2 linked regions of the Arabidopsis thaliana genome follow. The protein of the gene in region 2 interacts with the protein of the main gene of each other region in a pairwise test. Each region holds a gene or a part of one and is shown on either strand. Other genes may lie near its edges.

Region 1 (8,152 bases), on a different chromosome or scaffold from region 2:
GCTAAATTCAGAACTATTTGTTGTTGTTATTAGATTCTTTTTTAATAGCTTCTCTAAAGAAATTTTTGATAAAAATATAGACTAATAGATCTGTGTATAAACTGAATATTTAGGGTTGGTGTTATATCAAAAAAAGAATTAAGAACTCCTGAATAACTCTAGGATCTTGTATGTTAATTGTTGAAGTGAGAAATCAAAACCTAGTTAATCGATGAATACCTTTGCTATATTTTGTGATCAAATAATAAAAGAGGTAATAACTTCTTCTTTTTTGTCAATCATTATTAAATTATTGTTCAAACGGGCCATTTCTTAGAAGATATAATAACTTTATTAATTACTTTCTAATATTGTCATGTAAATTTAAGATAAAGGTTAACGGGCTTTTGGTGCGTAAAATCTTTTATTTTCAAATAACTTTATTAATTACTTTCTAATATTGTCATGTAAATTTAAGATAAAGGTTAACGGGCTTTTGGTGCGTAAAATCTTTTATTTTCAAACTTTATAATAGATATATTTAAAATCGAACCGTGAACATGATATTATTGTAGTGAATAGAAAATTTAGGAAAACATAAAATTTTGTCTTATTTCACTTAAAATAAATAATTGCATACAGAAAAATATATTTTAAGGATTGTTTTGATAATGTTTTGCAATTCAAGTGTAAGAACTGGTGGAGCATGAATCCAATAGATTCCAATGGAGTTATGTATAAATCACAATGAGATTAACTATATGAAATCATAGTTAGGGAAATTAAAGATTAAGGTTTATAAATGTATTTTGGACAAAAAGAGGAATAAAATACAAGTAATTAATATCTTTGCCTAGATAACCTCAATACAATTTGAACTTCAAATGAACTTGGATGGTAAGATATATTATAGAAAAAGTTTGGAGTAGAAAATTTTGAATTATAATTCCTAATATTTCAATAATATTTTTTTGCCTATCATTGTTTCAGTAATATCTACAATATATTCTAAAGATAATTTTTGGAAAAAATCTTCATTGATATTATATATAAATCACATCCCATATTTGAATGAACAAATATTTTTCTACCTATGAAAAATTCAAAATTTTGACTAATAATATGCATAACACTACTTTATATACATTTAAAGTCTCATGTTTTTCTAAAATAATATACTATTTATAGTAATTGGAATAAATTCATTTGACCCTCGAGGAGATATATTTTAATATAAATTATAAATATTATTATTTTGGTACTACAACAAGGATTAAAACCTTATTATGATATTTTGACATGTCGAAACATGTTGATTTAGTTAAAATTGTGTGGAAAAATTTTTGTTTATGATATATCGTGGGCTAATTAAATTTCGGTGTGTTGCAATGTATCATACTCATTTCAGCTTTCTTAGCTAAATATTACTTGTACTTCAATGACTAGTACAAAACACCCAAATACCATGACCTTGCTTGTTTTGATATTCTCTAATAAAACCCAACTTGGTTTAAACATCTCTAAAATCTGACTTAGTTCCAAGATTGACCAATCATCTACCTTCTTGAGATGCAGCCTCGTGATTATACTTCTTGACTCTTCATCTAGTTTCTTTAGATGTAGTCCCATGATCTTTCAATGACGTACGACTTCTCTCCACATATCATTTAGAATCTTCATTAGATACCTGGAGACTCCTCCTCTATGCAACATCGATTGAACTCCCTTGAAGTAAAGTCTCCTCCTTTATCGGTACAAAAGGTTTTAATAGACAAGCCGACTTGCTTCTCTAAAACTCTTGAAAAGCTTTTGAACCGATCAAAACTTGAATGAATATGTCAACAAGGAACCATCTTGTTCTTGTTGACTGATTCAAACTCCTCTTCACATCTTTCCTCCATTAAAGCACATCTTTAGCCTCTTGGCTCATTACTTGTTGAAAGTTGACGTCTCTTACTTTTAACATAAGCTTGGTGGAACAATCCATAAGTTGTTTCGGACTGCATAACATAGTCTTCAAGGTACCGCGACTGACTTATTTGTCGACCCGACCTTCTCAGTTGTGGTACTCCTTGAACTACTTCACCAACCTCATTATGGTATTTTTTAGTGATATCCTCCATGCCATCATCTTCTTCATGTACTTCTCCAACATCTTCTCTGTGAATCAACTCCAATATGATATAACCGAGCATGTCATGTCCTTGTAGCTTCAGTAGAAAGTCCATCGACAAGTGATGTTGGATAATTCCTAACTTGAAGAGCAAGATATCTCCTTTTAGTAGATGGTAGAAGAGATACAAGAAAATAAAATACAAATAACGTCAAGTTGGACATAATTTGTAACTCTTCCTTTTCAAATCATGACTAAACTCTAAATTTAGATGTAATTTAGCTTAGTGGTAGGTCAGAGCAAATGGATTTGGTTTATACGTTTGCAATTATGTAATTCCATGGATGTAGTTTGAAAGACCAAACTTCATTACAATTATGTGTATCAATTTATTTTGCTTACTCGTATCTATTTTATCACTAGAATACAAAGATTTTGCTAACTCCAAATCTATTATTTTCAGACAAGCATATCCTGTAAATCTTCAATCATCCAAAAAGTGATGTTGAGTTTAGATCCAACTCCAAAATGTATTTATCTTATTTTTAAGTAAAAAACTGAAGAAATGAGTTTGCGAATCTTTTAAATAGTTATTTTGTATAATGCATATTAGAGAAAGAACAAAGATAAATTTTTGTATCAAATATTTAAACTGAGTTAATGGTGGTTTATGAAGGGTGTTATAGTGCATTCACTCCCTTATATAATCGATATCTCTAATCCCTTGGTAAAATTAAATTGTTGTATTGAATTTTTTTATGAAAGAGTAAGGTGAGTTGCAAATTTTGCTTGGCCTCAAAAATTCTTCTCTCTATTTTTTCATTTACATGTTTGAAGTGTTACTTTTTACTTTGCTAAGATATTTCAGTGTTACTTTTTAATCTACATATTTCATTGTTATTTTTTAATTTACATATATCAATGTTATTTTTCCACTCAGATAAGGTGAAATATTTCAGCTAACTTAAAGTGATTATGATCATCAACACCTATTTCATGTCAATTTTTTGCTAAAAAATAAACAAATTGGTCATAATGTTCAAAAACTTGACCTCACCATCATAATACTTAGTACTTACTGGTCAAACAAACATATGTTCAGAACTTTTGTATTGATGGGGAAGGTTACTTTTGTCGTAATGTTACAAAAAAAAAATTGTTACTGTTGAGACCATTATAAATAATCATGTCATGTTCTTTAATTATCAACTTTGATTGTCATTTAATTGTAAATTTCGTTAGTTAATCTGTCCTCTTCTTGTAATTAAATAAAAATTTGTTTCAATACCAATAAAGTTGTCCTAAAAAAAACCACCCCTCTAAATAGGGAGTGAGTGAGAGAGAGAGTGATAGTGAGAACAAAAAAAAAACATCATTTCTTCTCGCACTCTTCACCTGCTCCAATGGACGAAAGACCCGAGACAGAGCTAATATCAATACCAGCCACACCACGAGTTTCAACACCGGAGATTCTAACTCCCTCCGGTCAAAGATCACCTCGTCCGGCCACCAAACCATCGTCGGCGACATGGACTCCGACTTCGTTCATATCACCGAGGTTCTTGAGTCCGATTGGTACACCAATGAAACGAGTTCTTGTGAACATGAAAGGGTATCTTGAAGAAGTTGGTCATCTCACTAAGCTAAACCCACAAGATGCTTGGCTTCCAATCACTGAATCTCGTAATGGAAACGCTCATTACGCTGCTTTTCACAATCTCAACGCTGGTGTTGGTTTTCAAGCCCTTGTTCTTCCCGTCGCGTTTGCGTTTCTTGGCTGGTGCGTTTGCGTTTTTCTTGATTTTTCCAATAATCTTTTTTCTTGTTTTTGAGTTTTTTCTTGAACTTTGTGTTTAGTGTTTCAAGATTATTTTTGTTTAGTGAACGGCGAGGGTTTATTCGACTCTCTGTGGTGCTCAGATCCAGTTTCAGGGTTCACTTTACTTGTTTGGGCAAAAATCAAAAATGTTTTTCTTGTCGGAAATAATAATAGGATATTGACTAATTTACTTTTTAACTTTGAAAACATTTCAATTTTAGCAGTAGATATTTTCTTTTTAATTTGTCATGCTTCCATCATTACACATGTGGATACTCACAGACATACTTTTTTGCTTTAATTTGGATTAAGACAGAGCCTTCTTTATCGTCTACTTTGTTTCTTGTTAATTTCCGGCAAAAAACACTTTTCTGAAAAGTATTTATTGTGTATATATAAGTAGGGCATGTAGTTGACGTCATAATAGATGACTATTTCTTCTTATAAACTTATATTTAGATAAATATTTTTTATTGCAAGTTCTAATATTTGAAACTATACATAACTTGTTAAGGTGGAGCATTTGGCTAGTTCAATACTTAAATAGCTTAGTGATGAATAATGATATTGCAATGATCATGTATTTGAGATTCTTATGTAAGAAAATGCACATATATTATTTCCAAACTTCAAGAAGTGAATTATTGTTGTTACAGGAGTTGGGGAATACTGTCTTTAACAATAGCATATTGCTGGCAACTCTACACACTGTGGATTCTGGTTCAGTTGCACGAAGCTGTCCCCGGGAAACGCTACAATCGATATGTCGAGCTTGCACAAGCTGCTTTTGGTAAAATGATAAATTTAGTTTTACATTAAGAATGATGAAATAATGCATCAATAGTGACAATTATTATTGATACTAATTTTGTGTCTTGCTAAGTTGCTATTACTAAATCTTGTACTCTTGATTGGAACAGGAGAAAGGTTAGGAGTATGGCTTGCATTGTTTCCTACGGTTTACTTATCAGCAGGAACCGCGACAGCGCTGATTCTGATCGGTGGAGAGACAATGAAACTCTTCTTCCAGATAGTTTGCGGTCCATTATGCACCTCGAATCCGTTAACAACAGTTGAATGGTATTTGGTGTTTACATCTCTCTGCATCGTTCTGTCTCAGCTACCAAACCTCAATTCTATTGCGGGACTCTCCTTAATAGGAGCAGTGACTGCAATAACTTACTCCACAATGGTTTGGGTTCTCTCTGTGAGCCAACCAAGACCAGCCACTATCTCATACGAGCCTCTTTCTATGCCTTCGACTTCTGGTTCACTCTTCGCTGTTTTGAATGCTCTTGGCATTATAGCTTTTGCCTTCAGAGGTCACAACTTGGTTTTGGAAATTCAGGTAAAATATGCAAAATATTTCTGTCTATAGATAATGCACATATTGGACTTATGATTTATTCTGAGTATTGAAAACTTTGTAGTCGACGATGCCATCAACGTTTAAGCATCCTGCTCACGTACCAATGTGGAGAGGAGCCAAAATCTCTTACTTCCTCATTGCTCTGTGTATCTTTCCAATCTCCATCGGAGGCTTTTGGGCTTATGGGAACCTTGTAAGTTCCATTTACTATATCTTTTGTTTATGTCTTGTCAGTGAAGGATGTTTATCTGGTGTTTGGTTCATGTTAGTGAAATATAGAATTCAAAAGGAACACTAATATCATTTATTTATAGTTCGTTTTCTGATCTTTGGTTCAATTTCCGGATTAGTTTGAAGTTATTTTTTCTTGGTCTTATAGATGCCTTCAGGAGGTATGCTTGCTGCTTTGTATGCATTCCACATTCACGATATCCCGAGAGGCTTATTAGCGACGGCATTTCTCCTAGTAGTCTTCAGCTGCTTGAGCAGTTTTCAGATATACTCCATGCCTGCCTTTGACAGCTTTGAAGCTGGCTACACAAGCAGAACCAACAAGCCGTGTTCGATTTGGGTCAGATCAGGTTTCCGAGTCTTTTTTGGTTTTGTCTCGTTTTTCATCGGTGTTGCTCTCCCTTTTCTGTCTAGTCTTGCGGGGTTGCTCGGTGGACTCACTCTCCCGGTCACATTTGCTTATCCTTGCTTCATGTGGGTCTTGATTAAGAAACCGGCGAAATACAGTTTCAATTGGTATTTCCATTGGGGATTAGGTTGGTTGGGAGTTGCATTCAGCTTGGCATTCTCCATAGGTGGGATCTGGAGTATGGTTACCAATGGACTTAAGCTCAAGTTCTTCAAGCCGCCTAACTAAGTAGTAATAGCCTATGTGGTTTTGTTTGGTTGGGAAGTTTGAAGTTTTAAGAGATTTTGTATTTCTGTGTTTTGTTTAAGAGTGCCTATGTTTTGAAGTTGGAACAATGTAATGTGTATTATAATTCAGTAAGCTTTTCAATATAAAGAATTTGGAATTTTGAAGAATCACACTTGTGTGCCTCTGTTGAATCCCTAGCTGGAATTTTCCCAACGTGGTTTTCTCTTTTCCATCTTTTTTTCAAATTATTTTGATACTACTAAAAATAACGATACATGAGTATTAAACTAAATTAAGCTAGATCAAGAATTCGGATTCAAAGTAATCGTTTTAGTGTATGAAAGATGATATTCTCGGATGATCTTTTGTTCTGCACAACTTTTTGGATCCTGCGGGAAGAGGGAAAGTATATAGAATTACATGATATCATATGTTGATATCAAGCGACTTGACATAAGAATTGGTGAAGCTCATGTTTGATGAAAATTGATGTACAAGTATACCCCTGTCGACGGACGACTGCACTACGATTTGTATAAGAGCAGATACGGGGCATGTTTTTAGAGTGTCTTTTTGTACATGAGAATTTAGATGTGTGCATGGTTTCATGTCTATTACGCATTTAATACCCTCAATGTACATCGAGTCGATTTCTCTGTCATGTTCTAGGTGAAGTGTCGGACCGCCAATGAGATTGTGGGATACGGGCTTTGCCCTCCATGCCCAATTCGGCCCAAACACAAATAGAACAAGTCAAGAAAGCTACTAACAAGGAAGAACGGCCCATCAGAACAACGGCCCATCAGAATGACTGCTCGGCCCATCACAGCTCGGCCCATCACGGTTTGGCCCAGCCCGATAAATTCAGAAGGGCAAAACGGAGAAATCGCTAGAGAGACTAAGAGAACCCTAGATCAGCTTCTTGCCTATAAATAAGAGGAGACACTACTAAGAAGAGGGATCCAGAACCTAAGTCACCACTCAGAGGATTTAAGAGAGAATTGCTGCCTACCTCTTTATCTCTTATTTTCTGGTTTTCCGTTCTGTATTTTCTGGTTTTCCGACCATTAATATCGATTTTCCGACCTGTACTTTCGGTTCTCCGTTCTGTACTTACGGTTTTCCGTTCTGTTAATTATTGTCTTTTCGTTCGTCATTAATAAAGAAGCTACTCCGTTCTCCCCAAACCCCTTAATAATTATTGTTACAACCTCGGTACAAACAATTGGCGCCCACCGTGGGGCTAGGCAGAGTTTTCTTCTGATATTGACGAGCAGCTACGATGTTGCCAGTAATCCCGGAGAGCCACGACGAGATGACGGAAACCTCGAACGAACAAGGAGTCAGAACCATCGCGCCTCGTGCCGCACCACCAGCTCGGCCAACGACGCCACCACCAGCTCGGCCAACGACGCCACCACCAGTTTGGCCAACGACGCCACCTCCAGCCGGAGCTCCTGTCGCAGTTCCAGCCGCAGCTCATGTCGCAGTTCCAGCCGCAGCTCCTGTCGCAGCTCCTGCCGAACTCGGAGAAACAACTTCACGAAGAACCAATCTTGACGAAGTCATCCGATCTTTCCTCGACCGACTCGACTTACAGAACACAAGAACTACCGAACGCATCAACGTGATTGTCGCTGCCCAGAAGGCATCGTAGAATCAGATCGAGCAACTCCAGTCCTCCGCAGCTCGCGCCGGTCGACAGCTCAGCGATGACAAAACAGTCCCGCCCCAGTAACTCTTTTCATGGAAAGACCGGTGAACCGACGCAATAGGCCTGCTTCTATCGTTGTTGGGTCCATCGACGAGCACACCCGTGAAAATGCGCTGAACCGTGACAACCGGCCGAACATCGACACTCGAACATACCGAATAGAAGACCACTATATCGGTGCGAGCGATCGTGAGCTCTAAAAATTACAAACTACTATGAAGGATATAACTCTGCTCAGCACCAAAGTTAGACCTTTCTTCAACTGAATCAACCAACATGATGCAAAGACG
Region 2 (6,206 bases):
AAATGAACCATAAACTCTACATCACACTACATATCTATAGAAGTTCCATCAAACCACAATGATACCGCTGCTGCTTCCCTCCATCTCTTGCTCCTTCCATCTCTTTACAAGTTCTAATACACTTGTGTCCTCCCTGTCGTTGTCTACGATTTCACTAGGCTTCCAAGTGTCACAGAGTGAGGTAAGTGTAGAGACAACATACTTCATCTCTGGTCTCTGAGTGAGCTCCTTGGCGCAGCAGTGAATTGCTAGTCTCGCTACGTCGTCAATGATGTTGCGGTTCTCTTCATTCACTTAAATTGTTTCGTCAATGGCTTCTCTAAAAGAGTTTTTGTCGATGCAGACTCTCCTGAACCAACTGAGAATGTGATGTTCAGCATCTGATCGCTTCTTGTCTAAAGCTTCCTTGCTTGTGACTAACTCCATGAGAATAACTCCAAAACTGTAGACATCAGCTTTTGTAGTTACCCTTCCAATCAATGCACTTACAAAGTTTAAGCTGTTAGATAACAATAACATTGGTGATCCGATGTAATAAACATTAACAGATTAGAGAAGAAGCATACATGCGTATTCAGGTGCCATGTAACCATATGTGCCGAGGATAGACTTTGTCATGATTGATTCGTTGCCCTCTGCTGTAGATCGGGTCAAACCAAAATCTGAAACCCTACAAAAAAACAAAAACTTTTAAGAGAAAAATAACGGTAATATCGATTGGACTACTTTTTTCGATCAGCTTTTTTGTAAAATTTGAGGATATTAAATGATCGTATTTAAAATTATTGTCAAAATACTTAGATTTGTTATTTTTGATCCAAAAAGTTCAAAAATATATATAAAGCATGATAATAACGAAATAATAAACAATACATCCTCAAACCAACTATTTTAAAATGCATAGAGTTTGGAGGAATAAGGAGAAATCTTGAAAATTTATATATATTTTGCTTGTAGTTTGCTTTTGTTTTTCTTATGTTTTATCTTCTTTTTTTGCTTTAAATTAAACATGATTAACAAACTTTATATTTTGGTAATTCTAGAACACTATAACATATTAAAAAAATTATAAACAAAATAATTCTTCATAGACAATATAAACCTATGTAATTATCTCTTTGAAATAAATAAATTAAATATGTTTATTAGGAATAAGTCTTAGTTGGTTTTGCTTAACATTTACCAAATGTAAAAATATTGTATTCACTCTGGGACTAGGCCGGTTGATATTAGCGAGACGTCTAAACCACCTCAGATATTTTAGAGAGTTCCTTTTAAACACTTATCTCTTTTACAATTATCTAATTTTTTTACTAAAATAAAAATTTAATTGTATAATCAAATTATAGTAAAATATTAATATTTTTTTTATTTGAGAATTTTTTGGGGTTCTCTTTGTTGGAGATGGTCTAACTACTTCTTCATGTCGTGTCTAAAAAGTAAAATGGTATATATAGCCAAATCCCTATTGCATTTGAACTTGATAATTGTTGTGATAAAATTAAAAACTAGATCATTGTTCATATAAAGTTACAACCTTTCAATTCGTAATTGTTGAAAATGAGAGAATCGATTGGATAATTTGTAATAAGTGATAACTGAGAAGAGGATCACACTTGTCTTCGTTATTGTATTGGCTTGTTGGAGATAATTAGATAGGAATTCTATCATAGGATAATGTTTTTAATCAGCACGCAAAATTGCCTTTTATTTGTCACCAAGGTCTCTGACATGCATCAGTACATCAATATCCACATCCTGAATTTTGATCGCAAAAGAGCTCAAGTTCTTTTTGCAGCATGTTAACGTTCCTTCACTGGATATGCGTTGTTTTGAACTATGTAGACAAATTCAGGAAAGAAAAACTGAAAATCTTGTGCTCAATTGTGAAGACTTAAGAGGAAGAAGAAAGTGACGAAGATGATGTGTTCATTGCCACTTTCTCTTCATCATCTTCCAAGACGAACAACATCTCTGTATTCCTCCTACACATGCCATGAACCAGAACAACGGGCAAACCAGCCAAAACCCCGATCACAATACCGCGGGATACATCTGTTAGTAGAAATATACCGATCGTGAGGACCAACAAAACCAGCACCAAAGTAGAATCATCGATCACACTGCCAAATATCACCCATGGTTCATTATCACGGGAGTAGACATATAGCCATGCTACTATCAAGATAACAAAGACGGAAAGGTGGACGGGTTGCCAAAGCATGCTGATGAAGATACTAACAATGAAGATAACAATGTAGTTGGTTCGAAAGATCATGATGTTGGATTTGATTCGTTCAGTGGCAACGCTAAAGGAGATAGGAAGGCTAAAGGCACTACATTGGACAAGTTCAAGCCATGGCCTTTGAGAGCTAAGACCTAACGAGATCAATTCTTTGGCTCGTCCTAATAAGCTCAGGCTCGACGAAGCATTTTCTTGGGATGGTATAGTGCCATAGGTTGTCATATTCTTTCACAAGCAACAAACAAAAAAAAAAAGGAAGGAAAGAAACAGAGTACGTCCCCAGAGGAATCTATATGGACTAAAGAATGTGAAGCAACCTAATTTGAAGAGAAAAATCTGTGTTGGCTCAATGTTTCTGAGGTAGTTAGATCATCTATCTTATTTGGGAATGTTTTATTTCAGGACACCAGAAGAGAGGCAGATACAAGCAGAGATATTCAAAGGAATGAATGGATACCCTTAAACTTCTCAAATCAAATCCTTATACTATAACGAGACTGTCATTACATGTAATTTCTAGAAAATAGATTCTTAAGAGAGTCATTAGACTCGAAATACAGACACAAACATTCTACTGAACCAAAAGAAGTTTTTTGATATACATATACTAGTGAACCAGTATAAATCCATTTATATCTGCGTATCAAAGTCGGAGATACATCCTTCACCATAGTCTCTGATAGCCTAATCGTTAGCTTCACTGGCTGCTAGCATCTGAAGCAATAGCCTCACCACGATAAACTCTCCATGGTCCTCGATAGAATACTGGCTTCATCAGAGGCACTGTTTTCCCTGGGTGCTCTTCCCAAAACTTCTCCTGTTTACAGAGAGTGGAGTAACATAAAGTTCACACTCAAACAAGAAACATAACTGATACTAACACAAAACAGTGTAAGAAACACATTGACAAAGAATACAATATACTACAGAACAATGAATTAGATTAGATACTAATCAAGACGTAAAAGCTTCATTGAAAGACCTAATGAACCATTCCCATGAAAAGCAATTCAAGTATAGTTCTTTTCATGATCACACAATCCTTTATTAGTAATCAACAATGAATCATTTCCAATTTTATCACATTTCGAACCCTAACATTTACCAATCACGAGAATCAAATTAGAACCCACAAATCTAATAGCAATTCCGGGCCTGAATCGATAACAATACGAAGCTGACCTTGTAGAGCTGCTCTGTAACTGCAGCGCCGATGACGCCGGTGTAAAAGGCGGCGACATAGATAGTAATCAAAGTTGTGAAGGTTTTTGGTCGACGGTAAGGTTCGATCATTTCCCAAACAGCAAATCTCTCGAACTTATTGTACTTATAATCAGCATATTTCCTCCATAGTTGGCTCCACACTCCTTGCATCTCTCAGATTTCTCTCTTCTCAAACCTTCGCCGAATTTTGGATTTCTCCGTCTAGCTGTTTCGCGGCGGCGCGTGGGAACCTGAGAAAAATCTGATATCAAAAGGCAAGACTTTAAACGTTAAAACGTTTACCAAACAGTCCTCTTATTCCTACATGTTTTAGTTTTCAGCCCTTAACTTATCTTTAACACTTAAAAGTCTTGAGCTCACATTTGTAAATTTTTAAAAAATCTTATTTGATATGATTCTTGTAAATTTGTAAATTGTAATCACAACACATGATTATTGTAACCATTGTGCTATGTATTTGTTTTTCACTATCGTTCGGTAAGTTGAGAAAGTTATAAATTTACCCCAAAACTATGGAAATGAGACTTATGCAACCTCACATGACTTCATCAATAAGCTTGCTTTAAAGCAATAAAGAACAGCAGTAGTGAAAATACATTTGCAATTGACTATTAGCAGAAGAATCGTAACTGGCTTTAGGAAGTATTCTTTTACACCCAAAAATATGACGATATACAGAATTTTAAGCTGAGTATTTGCTTGAGCAACCAAAGATTGTTGCCTTAGTAATATATCTAAAAATCTGGCACTTCAACTTGATGCAGCTGGTTTGGCTAATGTTAAGCCTTCAGGTACCTTGGCTGGACCGAGGCTGCAACGATCGGTATTGTGCAGTTGGATTGCATCTTTTATCTTCTGAAACTGAATACACACAAATATTCAAAAGAAGAGGATGTCAAATAGTAATCAGAGACAGACCAAATGCATTCAACCGGTTTTGGTATCAATATCAGCAAAGGGTCTATAATATTTGATAGATCCTATCGAAAAAGAACAACGAAGTAGTTCTCTTTGTTTGAAGCGTTATGCCAAGCTCTAGTTGCGGAAAAGGTGAAACCGAAATAGCCTTCTTTACCTTAGCAAGAGAACATGAGAATGACTCAAGCTGACCATCAGCTCCACGGTAAAAGTGGAAAAAAGGAAGCACTCTCACGTTCAAACTCTTGCACATCGGTTTATTCTCATCAAAGTTTACTTTAAGGAACACTATATCGGGATGTTCCACCGCTGTCTTGCAAAGCTGAAAACATTTTCAAAACAGACACAAAAAAAACATCTAAATTTCTCACAGAATCACGAAAGAGAAATGAAACTCTTATAGTTTCATGGAATAGATACGTCACATGACACTAACCTTTGGGAACAATGCTCTGCAAGAAGCACACCAAGTTCCATAAAACTCTACAATAACTAATCTTTCACCCGCACCGCTTAAAGCGCTCAAGAACTCTTCAGTAGAATGAATATCGACCATGTTTGGAGCATTCCTCTCCCACCATTTCGGTGGCTCTGTCTCGGCTACATTTTCATCTACCTACACCACAAACCCACATCAGAAACATAAAACTATGGCCGAAAGCATCACCATCTAATCAAAGCAATCAATAGCATCACCGTCTCTAACAAAAAAACTGAAACTTTAGACTAAATTCTAAACATCTGAAGTGGAATGAGAACATAACAGTGAGCTAAGGTCACAATTCACGTTTAGGCTCTAGCTAGAGGCGAAAGACCAAATCGAATAACAAGAGATCAGAAATGGGCTCAAGAGTCTCAATTTCCAAAAGGGTATACGATTTACGGACAGAATCAGCTAAAAGGCAAGACATTTGTACCTTGACACGAACCACTTGGCTCTTGGGTCGTCTAAGGGGGAGATGGCTTCCGAGACCAGAAGATGGGTGGTAATGAGAAGACGAGCAGGAAGGAGAAGATGAGAGAAGACGCAATCTCTTGTCGGAATTCAGATTCGAGTTTGGAGGTAAGCAAGGTTGCAGAGGATTAAGAGCGGTGGCAAAGGAGCTGAAGGACGAGGAGACACGAATGGCTTGAACCGACGTCGTCGTTAATCGCACAACTCCAGCCATCTAAATGCACCCAGAGAGAGAGATAGAGACTGAGATTGTTCTTGGTTTTGAATCTTCTCCGAGAGATCCTCTAAGGAGAAGAAGATCAGAAACTGTCTGGTTCAGATTCCAGTGATATTTCTCTCATCATGTCTCTCCAATTATACATAGACGCGATTTTTCAACATTAAATAGCGTTTAAACCGCCATCATCCACTTGGCGTTTTGTCGATATGATAGTTGAAAAAGCGTAAACGCGTTTTTGTTTCTCCGTTAGAATCGTGTTTTAACACGGAACGCAGATAAGTAATGCTTTTTTCTTTACACACATAACAAACTTATTTACTTAAATGCCATCTATGTTTATTTGTTATTTGGATCCCAACTTTAATTGATGTACAAACACAGAAAAATCTAAAGAAAAATATCAAATTTGAAGGCGATTTGGGTTTAATTAGATTCGTATTTTTGATCAATCAAGTCTAGCATATACTTAGGTTTGATAAGTTTTCTACTTTCGATCACGATTTTAAAAGAGGAAGGTTCTTGTTATAAGGATTTAAGTGAATCTGTTCTGTTCCAATAAACTAAGCAAGTAATGAAAGAAAAAACATAACATGTGATGCAACAAAATCATTGCAAGAAAATAGGACACATCGGTGATAAGTGTT

What was found. Proteins that work in one complex are often made in the same cells at the same time.
Region 1: the proteins of PRA1.C (region 2) and AT1G47670 interact in a protein complementation assay, tested with the Arabidopsis thaliana proteins (one large-scale study listed by BioGRID).

What each region holds. Positions count from the first base shown.
Region 1 is NC_003070.9:17,534,830-17,542,981, reverse strand, and holds AT1G47670 (Transmembrane amino acid transporter family protein), read left to right. Parts: upstream 1-3,262; 5' UTR 3,263-3,495; coding exon 3,496-3,872; intron 3,873-4,567; coding exon 4,568-4,701; intron 4,702-4,831; coding exon 4,832-5,259; intron 5,260-5,341; coding exon 5,342-5,473; intron 5,474-5,659; coding exon 5,660-6,148; 3' UTR 6,149-6,357; downstream 6,358-8,152. Other genes in the region: AT1G47680 (uncharacterized protein), read right to left, coding at 1,893-2,207; AT1G47660 (uncharacterized protein), read left to right, coding at 7,431-7,801, 7,903-8,051; AT1G47657 (uncharacterized protein), read right to left, coding at 7,808-8,058. UniProt on the Arabidopsis thaliana protein: Amino acid transporter.
Region 2 is NC_003075.7:14,531,553-14,537,758, forward strand, and holds PRA1.C (prenylated RAB acceptor 1.C), read right to left. Parts: upstream 2,522-6,206; 5' UTR 2,468-2,521; coding exon 1,895-2,467; 3' UTR 1,385-1,894; downstream 1-1,384. Other genes in the region: AT4G29654 (Protein kinase superfamily protein), read right to left, coding at 49-284, 360-499, 591-662, 874-902; EMB2752 (embryo defective 2752), read right to left, coding at 2,943-3,062, 3,428-3,619; ACHT2 (atypical CYS HIS rich thioredoxin 2), read right to left, coding at 4,431-4,709, 4,824-5,003, 5,305-5,556.